Linked DNA regions of Danio rerio. The protein of the gene in region 1 interacts with the protein of each later gene in a pairwise test. Links are inferred from orthologs where the notes say so. Each region holds a gene or a part of one and is shown in the gene's direction. Other genes may lie near its edges. The genes, in order: jade1, yju2 and ube3a.

What was found.
Region 2: the proteins of jade1 (region 1) and yju2 interact in a two-hybrid assay, tested with the Homo sapiens proteins (2 studies listed by BioGRID and IntAct). The two-hybrid records come from large-scale screens. The link is inferred for Danio rerio from reciprocal best matches to the Homo sapiens genes JADE1 and YJU2.
Region 3: the proteins of jade1 (region 1) and ube3a interact in a two-hybrid assay, tested with the Homo sapiens proteins (3 studies listed by BioGRID and IntAct). The link is inferred for Danio rerio from reciprocal best matches to the Homo sapiens genes JADE1 and UBE3A.

Annotation. Positions count from the first base shown.
Region 1 is NC_133192.1:28,313,750-28,319,694, forward strand, and holds the end of jade1 (protein Jade-1), read left to right. Parts: intron 1-881; coding exon 882-999; intron 1,000-2,324; coding exon 2,325-3,208; 3' UTR 3,209-4,424; downstream 4,425-5,945.
Region 2 is NC_133177.1:55,443,510-55,449,857, forward strand, and holds part of yju2 (splicing factor YJU2), read left to right. Parts: intron 1-3,286; coding exon 3,287-3,468; intron 3,469-5,843; coding exon 5,844-5,988; intron 5,989-6,261; coding exon 6,262-6,348.
Region 3 is NC_133181.1:41,331,235-41,337,582, forward strand, and holds part of ube3a (ubiquitin-protein ligase E3A), read left to right. Parts: coding exon 1-744; intron 745-827; coding exon 828-972; intron 973-2,413; coding exon 2,414-2,619; intron 2,620-3,615; coding exon 3,616-3,780; intron 3,781-3,892; coding exon 3,893-4,048; intron 4,049-4,138; coding exon 4,139-4,212; intron 4,213-4,389; coding exon 4,390-4,533; intron 4,534-6,348. UniProt on the Homo sapiens protein: E3 ubiquitin-protein ligase which accepts ubiquitin from an E2 ubiquitin-conjugating enzyme in the form of a thioester and transfers it to its substrates.

The DNA of each region.
Region 1 (5,945 bases):
TTTGTTTTAGTGCAGCACATCTCATAATGATCATATTTGAGTGAGTAGGCACATGGTATGTGGTCTTTTGTGGCTGTTTGAATGCATCTGACCACATGAGCATTCATGTTATTAAAGCAACTGAGTCCTGAATTTTGACTGATTCCCCAAGATTCCCAAATTCACTCATTATTCACTTGCTATTCTATATGTAAAACTTCAATATGTAAAACTTCAAACTCTAAACTCTAATTTTATAACTTTTATAAATGTTTACACTACAAAGCGTATAGTGCATCATTGGGGTCTTTTTTTACTCAGTATCGTTGGTTAGTCAGTGAATGATGTAAGTGTTATTAGTAACATTTAAATTTCTTTCCCTGTTTCATTCTGTCGTGCCACAGTCATTATCACATCAGTGTTTTGCCATTAGACCATTAAATTTGTTGTTAGGCCAAAACCTAAAACACACACCTGTACAAATGTATGATACACAAATGTTTAATTTACTGATCTAAACTACTAGTGTGAAGCACACACATTTACTCGCCATCATGTTGATCCAAACCCTTCCACTACAAACACAAAAGATCCTTTATTCTTCTCATTCTCAAATCATTGTTTTTTCATTGAATGTAAGTCTGTGCATGTTTGACACATTAGAAACCTCTAAAATACATAACAAAAGGAATCTATTTGAAGCAAGTGATTAATTTAGATTCTTGTTTGTATGTAGAAAAGAGTTAGAAAATCAACTTATTTACCTTGCTTGATTTGCAAGAACATCTCATTGGTTCTCACATGCCAAACAGAATGATATATTAACTATTATATATAATAATGCCTTTTTAAAGCTTCTTTGTAGATTATTGTATGTCTCATCCACATATATGTGTGTTCAGGTGCGTAATTTGACGTATATGGTCAGCCGACGGGAGAGGATTAAACGGACCTTGTGCCGAGTGCAGGAGCAGATCTTTCATCACCACGTCAGGCTGCTGGAGCAGGGCCGCGTCACTGGTTAGTATGATGCTCACTTAAAGAGTACTGAAGCCAGGGGTGTCAAACTCAAAATCTGTAGACCTCCAACTCACACCTACTTAAAGACCCCGTAAAGTGCTTTGAAAAATGCATTTTTATTCAATCTTTGATGTAATCTTAAACCGAAACATGAAGAAAGGGTGGGAGAGCTTAACTCCTCCCCTTAAAGAACAAGAACAAAAACAAAAAATCAAACAGCCAAAAGTGTTTGTTTTTCCTCAGCTCTGCCAGTGAGAAGTGGTTGAGCTCTAGTGCATCAAATGAAAAGTGTCTTTAAGGGGGTGGGGCATGTCAGACATGAGAGGTTATGATTAGGGATTTTCCAATTGATCGGCTAGAGATCTGTGTCAGCTGATATTCACATTTCATGACTCAATCGGTACTCGGCAATCTGCCCGATCTCATGAACCGATTGCAAAAGTTTGTTGTTGAGTTTACACATAGAGAAAGTGGTAACGAGACTGAGTGAACGTGAACAGATTGAGAGAGACACAGTCATGTCCTAAGTATTACATTGGTAAGGTTAACTTCTTATGCATCAATTATGCGCTCCAAACTTTTTCTTCATTGAAACATGTTGAATTCTTCTTCCATCATTTGCAATGTTTCCAAATTACATTGTTAATCATTTCTTACCGATTTTTAAAATGTTTTATCTATTATTTTCTGTAAAACTCCCTTTGACCATGACATTTCCGAACTAAATGGTTTTAATAGTCGTTTTAAGGGATTACATGCAGCAAAAGTGATGATCTCGCCTCACCTAAGAAAATAAATAAAGTATCATACTTAAAGGGAAAATGAACTATTTTGCATTATAAAGCTTGAGGCATCAGAATCTGTACTTGGAATCTGACGATCACCATGACAAAGAATTTGTACTCTGTTTCAGCTGCAAAAATCCTGATCAGAGCATCCCTGGTTATGATGTAATGAGAAACTGAAGTATGAGGTGACATGAATAAATCTATTGATCCATTTAGGGAGAAGTGACAAATTACAAGCTTTACATGTTTATATCAGTTTTGTATCTTCTAAACGCCAATTTTGTCACTTTTTTGGGGTGCGCTAGCTTATAGATATTCTAAGAAAGAATAATACTGATACTGACATCTAAAAAACTTCATTTTAATTTCATAGGACCTTTTATAGTTTTTAGTAGTCTTGAACACCTTGATTAGTTGGATCATTTGTGTTTGCTTAGAGTTGGAACAAAACACTGCACAGCTGCGGCCCTCCAGGAATTGAGTTTTAATACCTGTGATTCAAACCATTTGACCTCTTCTGTTTTCTCTCCTGGTCAGGTATATCCTCTACTAGACGTTTGGAGGAGGCTATGTTTTATTTCCGTACGACGCCACCTGTGCCAGCATCTCCTCAGCCTCTGAAGGGCCACTGTGGGCAGAACAGCACACTGAGCTCCAGCGAGAAGGGAAGCAACTCTTACAGATCCTCAAAGCATATTGAAGCAGACAAGCCTGCAAAGATGCTCATGGACGGCGTTCCCAGTTCTGGAGACTCTGTGAGAAGCGAGACAGTGATGTCTGCTTCATCTAGACGTTCTGAGGGCAGGACGAGGAGTGGTGAGTCTCACAGAAAAGAGGAGGAAAGTGAGCGTCCTCTGGAGGACAGGAGGAGAAAGAGCAAGCTATGGGACCAGGTGTCTATTAAAGACAAACTGAGGCATGCAAAGTCTATGGAGGACACGCTGAGCAGTGAGACAGAGCTCGACACAATGGATGACAGATTGCTGCTGTCTCACACTAACGCTAATTCTGTAGCCACTGCTCCAAACATGTACAGCGGATCGCCGAGGAAGACAAACGCAAGCCATCAGGGAAAACTAGTGCCAAATGGAACATCCGGGCGGCATCTGAAAAACTGGGGCAGTTTCCGAATCCCCAAACGCAGTGAGAGAACGTCAGCAGGGAGACAGACCGAGAGGCAGGAGGCAGACAACACCGCAGACCAAAACTCTTCCTTAAAAACGTTTAGCACAAGCCCCGCCCCCTCCTCTCCTCAAATCAGGACCCGACTGCGGACGGGAAGTGAGAATCGACGCCATCTGGAAGAGTCTGATCTCGGCCAATCAGAGCAGGGTAAGAGGTGTCACACCCAGAGACTTCCGAGCCCTATGACTAGACGATACGGTTCAGACGTGATCCAACGTGGAGTTCTCGCATCTTGAAATGTCCAAATATATTATCATTATTATTTTCCCTCTTCATTTGCTCTTCAACGAAAGGTGAACAGGTGGAACGATATTTATTTTTCTAGTCTGTAATGTTCTGCTGAAAGTATTTTTTTGTGTGTATGTTAAAACAAATGTGGAGAGGTTTCAAAGACCAAACGATTGGCTGACGAAGACGAATATCTTCCTAATAATCGATGAATGAAACTATAAATCAGGTGAAAATGAACTGGCGGAGTTTCGAGATGAGTTATGAGCACTTCTGAGGGTGTTACCAGCGTGAAATGAAGCCAGTGCAGCCCAGCTGTCTTAAGTCCCACACAAAAACTGCACTTAACTGAGCACTTAAAAAGAAAAACATATTTGACCACAACAGTCGAAGCAGTTTCCAAAATTTAGGAAAGACTTTTAATTTATTTTTCAGTATTCTGCTAACTTAAAAGGCCATCATGTGTTGTGTGTATGTGACATGTGCCATTACTTCTGCTGTGGCACCTTTTCCTTCTCAGGTAAAATCTGCTTATATTTGTACTTAATTTATAGTGTTATGTCTTTTTTTTCCCTCTCCAAACTGAGTGTGTAACAGGTTAATGCCTTATATGTACTCTCTTTGGTCTTGAAGAAATTCCTTTCCATATAAATACAAATAAATAATAAAAAACTGTTCATTTAACCATATTCTTCAGCAATAGATGGACACTGTAGATCTGGACAGATTCACACTCGGTATGATGAAATTATGACGCATACGATGTATATCATTTGCAGCTCTGTTCAGGAAGGCTTTTAACAATCATTTACTTCCAGTATCCATTACTTTGCACTTGATATTAAACAATAACAGAAGACACTATCATAGCTCTAATGAAAACACTGTTGTGTTGAAAGGACTGATCTTCTTGACATGGTTGCCTTGGAGTAGTACGCAGAATATGTGTTCTTGCATCTTTTTCTTTATCGCTGTAAATGTCTCCTCATGCAAAATGTGAGTTGATCTCCTTCAGAAAAAAAAGTTTATCTTGTGCCTGTTTTTGTTGAGATGTTGCACTAGAACATTAGCCAGAGAGCTTGGTATAACTGTGTTCACAGACAAAAAAAAATTTCTACATGTTTATATAATCAAGCGCTGCTGTAATTTTCTTCTTTCTTTTCTTTTATTCTTATGCAATACTTTAGTTTTGTTGCAGATTGTGAATAAATTTTCTTGAGGTTACTTGAGGAGATGAAGTGTGGCTCACTGGAAACTTTTCAACTTTTCTCTGCTTTCAGACCAGGACAAGAAATCTGATATTGTCCCCAACATTTAAATATAGAAGCCTTTTGTTACAACGCAATTTTAAACTAAATCTTTAGTATTAACATTGCATTTGGATCTGCTTACTATGACCAATAATGAATATAAAAAAAACATTTCAGAATATTTATTAGGATAAAACTGTTAATGCATCTTTAAAGACCAGATAATGGTTCCCATTCATTTCAGATCTGACAACATATCAATGATTCTTTAGTCAGAGATTGCAGTGAAAGATTCACTGATTTGCTAATTCAACAAAGTAGTGAGAATCTTTCTTAAAAAAAACTGTTCAAAGTGCACATTTTAAAACACAACTCCATCATCATCTTTGTGGAAACTACAAAACATTCAAATGTACATACATTCAGTCTATTGGCATATAAATGTAGTTGACATCCAAAAACAACAATGGCAGATTTTAGGACTGCACTTTTGTGTCTAAGAAGAAGTGACATCGCCACCTGCTGGCCAGGTATATGTATATAAAAAATATCCGAAATTACCTACTATACCCTTAAATCAGGGGTCCTCAACCCCATTCCTTGAGTTCTTTCTTCCTACAGGTTTCAGTTGCAAACCTGTCTAATCTTTAAGTGCTGCTTCAGGTCCTGTTAAATTAATACACTTGTTCAGTTGTGAGCTAAACTCTGCAGGAAGGTGTTTCTCCAGGAACAGGGTTGAAGACATCTGCCTTAAATACTGCATTATTTAAGGAAACTAAACAGCTATATTCGTGTCCGAAACCATATAGTAGACGTTCTGAAGTGACCCCAATCAATCCCACAATGCACCGCAATAACTAGTCGAGTGAACAGATGTACTCTGAGGGTTCGTTACTGAGGAGAATGATTTCCCGCGTGTGCGACAAGATGGCGTCAACCGCAGTATCTTATCAGTGTAAGTTTGTAAATAACTGATTATTTATTGTAAAATTAACGTGTACATGATAGAATACTTTGTTTCATTACTAACCCTGATGGAAAAAAAACTGCATATTTGCATAGAACCAGCATTGATGCTAGTATGTTGGTCTTGCTGCCAGTTTTAATGCTGGTTTTTCTGGTCTGAGTGATGGTCCTGAGCAGCACTAGCATCAAAACATACCTTACCAGCATGTGCTGTTTTTTTCCAGCAGGGATTAGACAACATAAACACTGACAGCAATTTTATTTCATGTTTATTAACCAGCAAAGCACAAACAAATATACCTCTCTTTTGGTGCTTCATGCTCAAATTTACTCATGTAGAGTTTATTAGTGGACTGATGTAGAGAAAAGTGAATGAGGGTATAGTGGCAATTTCGAATAAATCCATGCTTTGTGTGTGTGTGACCAGTTAATGTTTAGAGATCATCGTTTTCATGTTTCATACAAGCCATTTGTTGTTTCACACAGTAAACTCTGGCACATCTAAACATGAAATTAACAGCAACTCACA
Region 2 (6,348 bases), on another chromosome or scaffold:
TATATATATTTTTTTTTTTTTTGTATTATTAAATGTATTAAATTATAATATTTTTTTGATAGGGCAAAAAAAAAACTTTTCCATCTGGGCCATTCCTTTTTCCTTTAACCCTTTATGGGTCTAAAAATTAGTTCATACTGGTCTTAAAAATGTCTTAAGTCCTAAATGTAACTCTGTGAAACCTGCAGAAGCCCTCATTATTAAGCTGCTAATCAGTAGTTTATTGAGCTAAAAGTCTTAATGGTTTGTTAATTGTATATTAAAATAAAGTGTGATCGTTTGCTTGTTTATAACTATAATCTAACTAATGAGAAGCTAATTCTTTACAGACTGATTCACTGTATTAGACCTGAGAACAGTTTAGTCCAAACATGCATACAACAGAAGAGCTCTGATTATCAGAGACATTTAACTGCAACTCTCAGTGACACTAAAATGTTTTTAAATTTATACAAATAGTTTTGAGGGCAATTGTTCTAAAGCATAGACACAGGTTAATGTTTTTTTTTTCCTTTTTTTTTTCGTACGGTTATGGAAAACCTGGAACAGTCATGGAATTTTTAAGTGGCATAATCAATGCCTGGAAAAGTTTTGGAAAAACAAATAAACCCATAAAGTTTTGCAAACATCATGGAAATTTTATACCTGAATATATTTTAAATGATAATATTGGGTCATTTTCAAACACAATAGCAGAGTCCGTCTCTCCTTTACTCTCATTCATGCGCAGAAACAAACTAACAACTACAGCGGTACGATTCTTCTGTATGTTCTGTATGCAACTAGAGTTTGCTTGTTTTGACACATTTAAAATATGTGGCTGAGAAATAACTAATTTAACAGGGCAAGTACAAATCTTCAGCGTTTAGCCCTGTATAAGCCTGAAATTTCATTCATAATGGTCTTAAAGTCTTAAATTTGACTTTGTGGAACCTGCAGAAGCCTTTATTAATGTAAGTGTATTATGTTTTGTATGTAACCTATTGAAATGAATTTTAGTAGTAAAAGTGTGTATGAACTCTGTGATTGGTTCATGGAGGTTGCATCTATTGGTGAAGCATTGAATATATTTTTTAAACATTTCGCAGTGGTGCCTAAATGAATCAGCCAATTTAAATGAATCATTTGGATAAATGATTCAGTGAATCACTAAGACGCGAGAATGGATGCCATCTTGTAATATTACATTTATCTGTCCATGACAGACATAATCCAGCCAAATGCCAGAAGAAAAAAAAACAAACTATAGTTCAATTCTATCCACAATTATCTCACAAATCTGCTTGATATTGGAAACAATTGACATTGCAAAGTTTTATTAATATTAATATACTTTGCGATAGGCAACGCGGTGGTGCGGTAGGTAGTGCTGTCGCCTCACAGCAAGAAGGTCGCTGGTTCGAGCCTTGGCTGGGTCAGTTTTCATATTCTCCCCGCGTTCGTGTGGGTTTCCTCCGGGTGCTCCGGTTTCCCCCACAGTCCAAATACATGCGGTACAGTTGAATTGGGTAGGCTAATTTGTCCGTAATGTATGAGTGTGTATGGATGTTTCCCAGAGCTGGAAGGGCATCCGCTGCGTAAAACACATGCTGGATAATTTGCCGGTTCATTCCGCTGTGGCCACCCCAGCTTAATAAAGGGACTAAGCCGAAAAGAAAATTAATGAATGAGTATATTGAGATATGAATATTATTTCACCAGATGACTTGAATGGCTCAGTTTGGGGAAAGAATTTATATTGATTTGGGGGATTTCGAAGAACAGTTAATTTGCATAAATGCAACACTAGTCAAACTGTATTCAGGTGCAGAAGCTGAATAATCAAATCTAAATAAATAACACCACATGGTCTTCGTTGTATAAAAAATATCTTTGGTAAAACGACATGTGTTATAAATGTAAATCTTATAGTCATAGGCCTTAAAACAAAGCAAACGAGCAAATAAAGATCTCTCACTCTAATAAGTTAAAATTTTACAGTGGTTCCTGGTCAGCTATAATCCCACTCAAATTGCCTAAGTGATGAATAAACTCAACCTGAACTTAAACTGAAGCGTCATTGCAGATAAACATTAGGGCTGTGCAATTAATCTAAAATCCGATTTCGATTTTGCCTTTTAACGATTATGAAAAATCATTAATCGAGATAAACGATTATTTCATCATATACCGCCCCTTTCCAGTTGTACACGTGTTGATCTTAAAAGCGCGAAAGACCGCATGATTCTGTGTGCCGCGCACACACAGAATTGAAGCATGCAGTCAGCATTCGGTCTCACTCGCACACTGAGACGAGCAGAGCGCAGTCAGCGCACACATCTAAAGTCATCTTAACGTGAGCGCTTTAATGGTCAGATAGGTGTCAAAACGCGGTGTTTAGTGATTATTCATATCAAGCATCATTTGTGTAATAAACAAACGAGTTGAGAATCAAAAGAGACGCGATAGAGAAACTATTAAAGAGACAGCGCGCTATAATCCTTCTGCCGCCTGTTTTTATGATTATTAATCAAACAACAAATGGAGAACATGCCTCTGCTGTTGACTGAAGGACTTTTGTAGCTAAAGTGTTTCTTAAGGTGAAGATGCTTAAATCACAGTTTGTTTTATATTTTTACTCTATTGTATTTATTTCTCTTTCCTTTGCAGGGTGGAAAATAACTGTTTGTATACAGTTGAAGTCTGAATTATTAGCCCTCCTGAATATTAGCAACCCTTTTCCCCCAATTTCTGTTTAATGGAAAGAAGATTTCTGAACATAATAGCTTTAATAACTCTTTTCTAATAACTTATCTATTTTATCTTTGTCACAATGAGAGCATATAATATTTGACTAGATATTTTTTCAAAATACAAGCATTCAGATTCAGAGTGCGATTTAAAGGCTTAATTAGTGTTATTAGACAGACAATCAAAAAATATATTGCTTAAGGGGGCTAACATTATAGACTTGCTTGAAAAAACCTGCTTTTATTCTAGCCAAAAGAAAAATAAAAAAGCCTTTCTCCAGAAGAAAAAAATATAAGAGGAAATACTGTTAAAATTCCTTGCTCTATTAAACATCATTTGGGAAATATTTATTTTTTACAAAATTATCAGAAGCGCTAATAATTTTGACTTTAACGGTAATCGTTTTGAATAATCGTGATTTCTGTTATGACCAAAATAATCGTGATTAGGATTTTTCACAAAATCGATCAGCCCTAATAACATTGCTATATTGTTGCGGAATTACATATATTGTGCAGCCTTAAGCTAAAGATGTTCTCTCTGAATGCTGTCAAAGGTCCTGGAGAACCGCACACGGGACTCAAAGCTGGAGATGGAGGTACTGGAGAACCTGCAGGAGCTGAAGGAGCTGAACCAGAGGCAGGCGCAAGTGGACTTTGAGGGTATGCTGGGTCAATATAAAGAGCTGGAGCAGAGACAGAAGCAGAGAGAGCAGGAGGAAGACGAGCAAGAGACCAAGTATGCAACAAGAGACCTTTTCTAATTTTGCTTTATGTATGCTGAATTGTTAAATATTTGTGGTTTAAACGTTTTGGTAAAGCCTTGAAGATCAGTCTTCATCAGAGGATTCCTCGTATGTCAGCTTATAAACAGATCAGCTGATTTTCGCTGCTTTAAAATGCTCCAGTGTCTCTGTATCAGTGGTTACACTCAGTAAACAGCGGTGAGTTCGGTGAATTGATGACCTTCACAGCCAATCACAGTGTTTTCTGTTGAGCACGTGAACACAATGGCAAATCAGCTGAGTTTAAGAACGTTCTCAACAGCGCTCAAATGTTAGCAGGAAATTTATGTTTTTAGAATTTCAGTACCGATTGTATTCCAGTAGCATGACAACACTATCTTGCAAAGTCTGAAAATTATATGTGGTCCATTTATTTTTAAACAAGAATGTACATTCATTATTGTAGTAATTTTACAGTGCACTAAAAAAAATATTAAAAAATAATTCCTTGGATTTACTAAATTTTTTACGTCAAGTGTTTGTAAACAATTTATTTGTGGTGAATTTAAACAAACAAATTAAGTTGAACATTTTTAAATGTAATTTGTTTGTTTAAATTCAACACAAATAAATAGTTTGCAACAGTTCTGCATGCAACACTTTTTTCAGTGTGTAAATATTCTAAAAAAAAATCACGCAGAGAAGTTATATTAGTAATTCATCATTCAAGTATTTTGCCGGTTTTTACATGTTAAAAACAATAATGATAATAATAGTACTGATATGTAATCACAGCATTTTGTCCAAACTGTGTACAATCTATAATATCATTTAAATGCAAAATGTAGATATTCCTATGCATTTTAACTAGTGTTGGGCCGTTATCGGCGTTAACTTTATGCGTTAACGCGAGACTCTTATCGCGCGATTAAAAAAATATCGCCGTTAATCTATTGTCAAAGTTGGGAGCTGGATCTATTCTACGCATGTATACCTGACCGGTGAGCCGTCTGACAAAATAGTGCCCTTCTGAATCAAATCAGCAGGATGCTTGCCTTTAACTGCAGTTCGAACGTTTAACTTTAACTCATGAACATTTCATTCATTGTCCCGTGACAAACTGGGGTATTAGACATAAATAGGAAGTAAGGACTGGTGAGAGTGTTATGAAATGTAATAACGCTAATCATAATAAATTTATGATTTATTATTTGGGTAGCACACATATTCTTAATGCCTTCGGCAGAATTCAAATGATCCGATTTAATTAATTTCGAGATTAATCTAGATTTTAAAAACTTGTCTATGCTTACCCATAATTTTAACCCAAAACATTGATGTTTAAACGTTGTGGTTGTGACGCAACGCAAATGTTTCAAGAAGACCCAAAAATGTGACGAACCCAGTTATTCAGGTTATGGTTATTTACGCTAATAATTCAATTGATGTTTATTTCTATTGCATTTTTACAATGTAGATTGTGTCAAAGTAGCTTAGCATAGAAGTTCTAGTAAATTGAAACTGTGTCAGTCCAGATTTTAGAGGAAGTTTAGTTCAGTTCAGCGTGGTTTAAATTTCACTGCTGGAAGTACAATCCCTTAACAGCAAATCATTCATTTTCTTGTCGGTTTAGTCCCTTTTTTAATCGGGGATCGCCACAGCGAAATGAACCGCCAACTTATCCAGCAAGTTTTTACGCAGCGGATGCCCTTCCAGCTGCAACCCATCTCTGGGAAACATCCACACACACATTCTCACACATACACTACGGACAATTTAGCCTCCCCAATTCACCTGTACCTCATGTGTTTGGACTGTGGGGGAAACCGGAGCACCAGGAGGAAACCCACGCGAACACAGAGAGAACATGCAAACTCCACACAGAAACGCCAACTAAGCCGAGGCTCAAACCAGCGACTTTCTTGCTGTGAGGCGACAGCACTACCTACTGCGCCACTGCTTCACCCTTAACAACAAATCCATTGATAATAATATACAAAAGACACGGGAATGGTGTAATGATGTTAAAACAAACAAAAAGCTCACCTTTCAAAGATCACCTACAACTTCGCTTAGTAATAGTCACAGCACAATAATCAAATCCCAGCCCGGTTCGTCATGTTTTCGGGTCCCCATAAAACTTTTTCCATTGTGTTCCATGATATTTACATGTGTTGTAAAAATTTTCTTAATTTTTTTTGCGTTGTGAGAATTTTCCCACACATTTTCTGTCAAACTGATGAAGATTTTTTCTTATTTTGCTAGTGTTTTTTGTAATTGCTCTCTCAGCCACAGTATTTTTTCCCTGAAGCAAATTGTGAAACAACAAGATGATGTATTGTACAAGTGTACTGTGATTTAATCTTCTCTTTTGTCTTTCTGTTCTCAGAGAGATGTTGGAGAGAGCTCTGGTCAAAAGACTGAGGGACTCAGACTCTGAAGAAGAGGCAGAAAACGCAAAGGAGCGAAGCAAGAAGCATATAGCTGATAAACCCACAGACATCCTCACCACAGACACCAGCACTTCATCACAGGTGGAGAGAGAGAGAAAAAGAGCGAGATTTAAATCTACTTTTTTATTTACATTTTCAGCTCATCTTTGCACAATAAAGGGCATCTGTTATGCAAAAATCACTTTTATAAGGGGTTTAAAGATAGTTATGTGGCAACAGTGTGTGAATATAACCAGTCTCTAATGGTATACCTTTTTTTCATAATCGCACAAATAAAAACACTCTGCAGTGTCATCACGTGGGGGAAAGCCCCGCCGTCCCCTGTTTCTCATTATTTTTATTATTTTTCCTCAGGGCTTGTCGTCTGCAGTGGCGAAGAAACAGAGCTGGGATAGGAGTGTGGGAGGTCTGAGTGTGAAGGGAGCTCTGGGGTCTCTGGTG
Region 3 (6,348 bases), on another chromosome or scaffold:
GAGAACAGTAACCTCCACAGTCCCGAATACTTAGAAATCGCCTTGCCACAGTTCTGCAAGGCCATGAGCAAGCTACCTCTTCCGGCTCTGGCCAAGCTTGCACGGTTGTGGTCGCAGTACGGTGTGGACCAGATCCGACGTTTGGTCGAGACTTTCCAGCAGCTTATTACCTACACGGTCATCAGCAACGAGTTCAGCAGTGATAACCTAGTCAATGAGGATGATGGTGTGGTGGCAGCCACCAAGTGCTTGAAAATCGTCTACTATGCAAACGTGCTGGGCGGCGACCTAGACACGGATCACAATGAGGAGGACGACGATGAACCGATCCCTGAGTCCAGCGAGCTGACGCTGCAGGAGCTGCTGGGAGAGGAGAGACGCAATAAAAAAGGCCCTCGAGTGGATCCGCTAGAGACAGAAATGGGCATCCGTGCCTCGGACTGTCGAAAACCCCTCATCCCATTCGAGGAGTTCATCAATGAACCACTCAATGAGGTGCTGGAAATGGACAAAGACTATACCTTCTTCAAGGTGGAGACAGAGAGCAAGTTCTCCTTTATGACCTGCCCTTTCATACTTAACGCTGTGACTAAGAATCTGGGCCTGTACTATGACAACCGGATCCGCATGTATAGCGAGCGCAGGATTACTGCCCTCTATAGTTTGGTGCAAGGACAGCAACTAAACCCTTATCTGCGTCTCAAAGTGCGCAGAGACCACATCATAGACGATGCTCTTGTCAGGGTAAGTGCCAAAAAGCTCAGATGATGAATGCGGTTTCAAAGAAGTGAATAATTTATATAAAATAAACATGTAATTGGTTGTAGTTGGAGATGATTGCCATGGAAAACCCAGCAGACCTGAAGAAACAACTGTATGTGGAGTTTGAGGGTGAGCAAGGTGTAGATGAGGGAGGAGTATCCAAAGAATTCTTTCAACTGGTTGTAGAGGAGATCTTCAACCCAGATATAGGTAATAATCATTTGTTTTTCCTATTTGGGTTTTTCAGTAGAGCTTTTGGGGTTCTTTCATGCAACCTAATGTACATTTTAGATTCACTTATCAAATAATTAAAACTGACTAAAAACATCTGCTCACTTTTGATTGCATAACTACGCCCCGTTTACACTAGTGCGTTTTAGATCGAAAACGATCCGTGTCCACACTAGCGTATCACCTTGTGTCTCCGAACATATCTCCGTCCACACTACGCCACCAAAATCGTATATCACGTGACCATTCGCACACTCAGGGCATGCGCATTCTGGTGTAAACAGAAAGCATGCGTCTCACTTGGCATTTGGTTATTTGGTTAACAAACGCCGGTTGAACATTAAACGCGATGGCAAAGAAAGCAAGAGAGGTATTTTTGTGGACAGATGACGAGGTCGAGTTGTTACTAAACATACCAAATGAATAACTGCACAATGATGCCTAAAACTGAAAATAGTGCAAACAACGCTCCCATTTCTGTGCCCATGTTGTTGTTTACAGTACTGTCTTCCGGTAGCGTTATAGTCATGTGATTGACTTGACGAATAAGGGAAGTATACGCAATGACACAAAAGCCCCAATCAGGTAGCGAATCTCAGCAGCCCCGCCTCCGTTTTCAAATGTCTCTGTTTTTCCTCATCCACACTGGGATAGAGCAGCAGCGTTTCAGAATGAAAACGGCCTCTCCAGTGTTTTCAAAACGCTCCGTTTTCGGCGCTCGAGAACTTCGGCGTAGTGTGGACGGATGGCGTAACCGTAGCAAAACTTATGCGTTTTAAAACAAAAACGCATTAGTGTAAACGGGGCGTTAAATGCATGTTAATACCAGGTGACATAAACATTTATTATGTTCTTTTAGATTTTAAGGAGTTTGTAGTGCACAATTCCTCTCACAGTCAAACACATTTTACTGGATTGTCCTGCTTTTAATGATTCCAGAAGACTCCAAGAAGAGTGTTAGAATTTATTATGTATTATCGCTAAAAATCCTTACGTATTCAATTGTTGATTTTTAAGTGTATATTTATTATTGAAATGCTCTTGCCATGAAATTAGTCTTGGTTGCTGACATTAGGGTTGGGTACATAGACGATGCCATCGTCCATCGCTGATGGCCGATAGACATCACAATGCTAAGCTGGCATTGCGATCCCACCTTTTAAATAGTTTCTATCTACATAGCAAACAAAACTGTCATGCCTTGGGAACTAAACATAACTAACCAATATGTCATCTGACACAAAGTTCATTGACGATCATTTATACTTATTGTAATTGAATGTGTAATATAATATGTGCCAGTAAGCTTATCATTTCATTCAGAACTTCAGCATTATTCTGTAAATGTGAATAATGAATCAGTGAGGATAAGGTGGATGGTGTCTGTTTTGCTCACTTGTTCTACACTTTTTACCCACAGGCATGTTTACCTATGATGAAAGCACAAAACTTTTCTGGTTCAACCCTTCATCATTTGAGAATGAAGGCCAGTTCACTTTGATAGGCATCGTCCTGGGCCTAGCTATCTACAATAACTGCATTCTGGATGTGCATTTCCCTATGGTGATTTACAGAAAACTAATGGGAAAGAAAGGAACGTTTCGAGACCTTGCAGACTCTCATCCGGTAATCTTTGCCTGCATACGTTTTTAAAAATATTTAGCTTGCTTAATGTTTGTTTTTAAAAATGGAAACACAAATGGTTCACCAAGATGTTGAGATGAATTTGAAAGAAGTCTCTTATGCTCACCAAGGCTGCTTTAATTTGATTTGAAAAATTACGATTCATCAGTTCTTTGTACTTAAATGTCATAATTTTTTAGAAATCATTATAATATACTGATTTATTGTTTAATATATATTTGTTATTTTTTACCATTTAAAAACAGCTGTGCTGCTCAGTGTTTTTATGGGAAGAGTTAGACTTTTTTTTGCAGTGTTTGGACATGTTATCTTTTAATTTCTATTAGTTTTGCTGAAGTATAGTCCCTTAAAATGTTTCTCATACTTTTGAAAAGTGTTGTGTATTTATTTACAGATTTATACTATAAACTTGTAGCTTTTATTGTTTTAATATTTTCCACATTCAGGTAAATTAAACTAAAAGCAGCTGTAGTACACTGTAGATCAAAATCCAGCAAGACAGTGTGTAATGTTTTTCCAAATATTTCTTAAGTTATGTTAACATAGTTATAGATGCATGATTTTGGACCCTCAAACTACAGGCAGGTTTTTTCCTCAATATTTCTAGTCCATACTTTAAATTGATAAAGAGATAATGCATTATGAGCAGCATTTCAGCTTTATTACATGTAGTTATGCATGTCCAGTTCTCAGTCATGCTGTGTATCGTCTATCTGTCTACACTTGTTCAGAATGCAGGCAGTTTTAGATCAGAGATTATGTCTGCTGGGAGATTTAGGCAGACACATCAGCACTTTGCTGGCGGAGTCCGTCGTGAAGACTTTAGCACACGGTGACTGCTCATCAAAATAATTTGGGGCAGGTTAATGCTTGCCCTTTGTCACATAGCAGTTATTTGATGGGCAGGATTAGAGAAATCTCTATCAGTGCATCTCTGGAGAAAATGATTATAATGGTGCTGTTCGTCTGTTTTTACAGGTTCTTTTTCAGAGTCTGAAAGATCTCATGGAGTATGAAGGCAATGTTGAAGAAGACATGATGATTACCTTCCAGATCTCGCAAACAGACCTGTTTGGAAACCCATTAATGTACGATTTAAAGGAAAGCGGTGATAAAATCCCTGTTACCAATGAGAACAGAAAGGTCAGGGAACATTTTTAATAAATGATCATTCATTCATTTATTCATTCATTCATTCAACATTTAAAAACACAACATGCAAGTATGCATATAACATGAAGTGTCTTGTCTGCAGGATTTTGTGGCGCTCTATGCAGAGTACATGCTGAACAAAAGTGTGGAGAAACAGTTTAAGGCCTTTAGAAGAGGATTCCACATGGTCACTAATGAGTCTCCACTGAAATATCTGTTTCGACCGGAGGAGATTGAGCTGCTTATATGTGGCAGCAGGGTGAGTTAGATATACATTCATTACTCATTTTTCATCGGTGTGGTAAAGCTATACATACAAGCGCATGATTTTTGTGTTGTGCTTTTATAGAACCTTGACTTCCAAGCACTTGAAGAAAGCACCGAATATGATGGAGGATACAACAAAGACTCGCGCATTATTAGGTATGTGGATGTTTCTTTATTTTAAATTGTGACTTTGTGTGTTTGTTGTTGTTCATCAGGCCTCATCCACAATGCATATAGGCATTGGCAATTGCGAGAATGTTATCAGTCAAACACTCATTGTAAAATCTACATCCTATGTTGAAAGGGAAAAACTATATTTTTGCTTCTCTTCAGGGATTTCTGGGAGACGGTGCACTCATTTGAGCAGGAGAAGAAGAGACTGTTTCTCCAGTTCACCACTGGCACAGATAGAGCTCCAGTTGGAGGTTTAGGCAAACTCAAGATGATTATTGCCAAAAATGGTCCCGACTCAGACAGGTAAACTCAATTATTACCAAATATCTGCACTGTCATTTCATTTAGCATTGTGTCTTGCTCCATCTTTTTGGTACAGTATTGTTGTGCTAGTTATCCTTATTAAAGGGACAAAACAGGGGTGTATGGTACAGTCAGCTATTTTGCTACTTCTGACAAACAGTGGAAACAAATTTAGATGTATACTGTACTATGCTTTAGTAGTAAACTAGCGATCAGTGTTTCTTTTCCCCTCCATAACCTCCATGTTTTAAATACACAGTTGAGATGTTACACTGTAACAATATATACATATAACAACAAGCTATGGTTGACCCGAGCTTAAACAAACCTTGTCGTCATCTTGTTGAACAGCTACAGAGCTGTTGCGCAAAAAAACAAAGGGAGAAGCCGGAAAAACAAAGGAGTAAATGATTGTTTCAGCAACCTAAAACATGAACAAACTGCTGTGTTTAAGTATTATATTCACTTCTAGACTATTATGAACCCAGAATGACGGAATTACTTTCTATCAAGAGGTTACATGTGCTGGTGAAATTAAAGATACAGATGAGAGATTTGCACTGACTGTGAGCTATATGTTGCAAGTTGTTTTTTTTAACCCAAATAAAGACTAAACATATGCTGCGTGTAGTTTTTCTGTAACTGGTAACTTATCGGAGACTGTAAGGGGCTGCATGTATTCATATATATTGCATTTATTTATTTATTTATTTATTTATTTACCTTATATAATTGCAGACGTTACAGTAGGTTAATTCACACTGTCATTGATCTGCAGTCATAATCAAATCATGTTCATTGAAAGGTTAGTAATGAACACTTATACTTAAGTATTTATGTGTATAAAGTGTCTGTTTTGTGAGAAATGCTTCTCATATGATATGTGAACAGCCTGTACAGCTTTACTGTAGACATTTTCTTGAGCGAGAATAACATCGACTGAAACTTTCTGTCGTACACCATGCACACCAAAAGAGTACCACTGATACCCTTTTAGCAGTGGAAACGCAAGCCTGATAACGGTGACCCATACTGTACCACTCAGTGGAAATGGGCCATAATACAAGCTGGGGGCTGCTCAAAGTGCTTTACAGCATTAAAACAAAATTATGCATTAAAACAAGAATGTCAATAACACAGCATGTTGCACTACTGACAGTGCAACATTCATGATAATACAAAGTTTTATAGGGAGGGTATTGCACAGTTTTGGACATGCCACTGCAACCTGGATCTGGGGACCTCCAGCAACAACTGGCCTGCTGATTGTAGGGCCCTGTTAGCTTGATGAATCTTTAAAATTGCACATAAATGAGAAGAATGACTATGATGGGATCAATTAAAATTTCTAGAAAATAAAAACCCATCATTTTTAGTTACAGAAAGCAAATCTTTAAATCCATATCCAAAACACATGTTTATACATTTACTATCATTTTTTTAAATCAATAACCTTTTGGCTCTGACTATACGTGGGATGTATTTTTTCATATAATTATTATTAAGTTATTTTAGTGTCACTAAAATATTTAGCCTCTTCTTAATGTCTCACAGCTTTATTCATTGTATTTTGTTGTATTTCATGTAAAATCTAGTTTCAAAACGTTGCTTTAAAAAACAATTGTAACATCAAGAGCTTAATGTTTTAGTTGAAAAAAATCACTTAGTTCACCCAAAAATAAAAAAATAAAAACAAAAGAAAATATTATGAACATTTCTGGAAACCAGTAACCAGTAACCTGTGTTCTTGTAAGTTATGCCTATTTTAGAAAATTACAAATCTTGTGATTTAAATAAACCTAAAAAAAAAAAAAA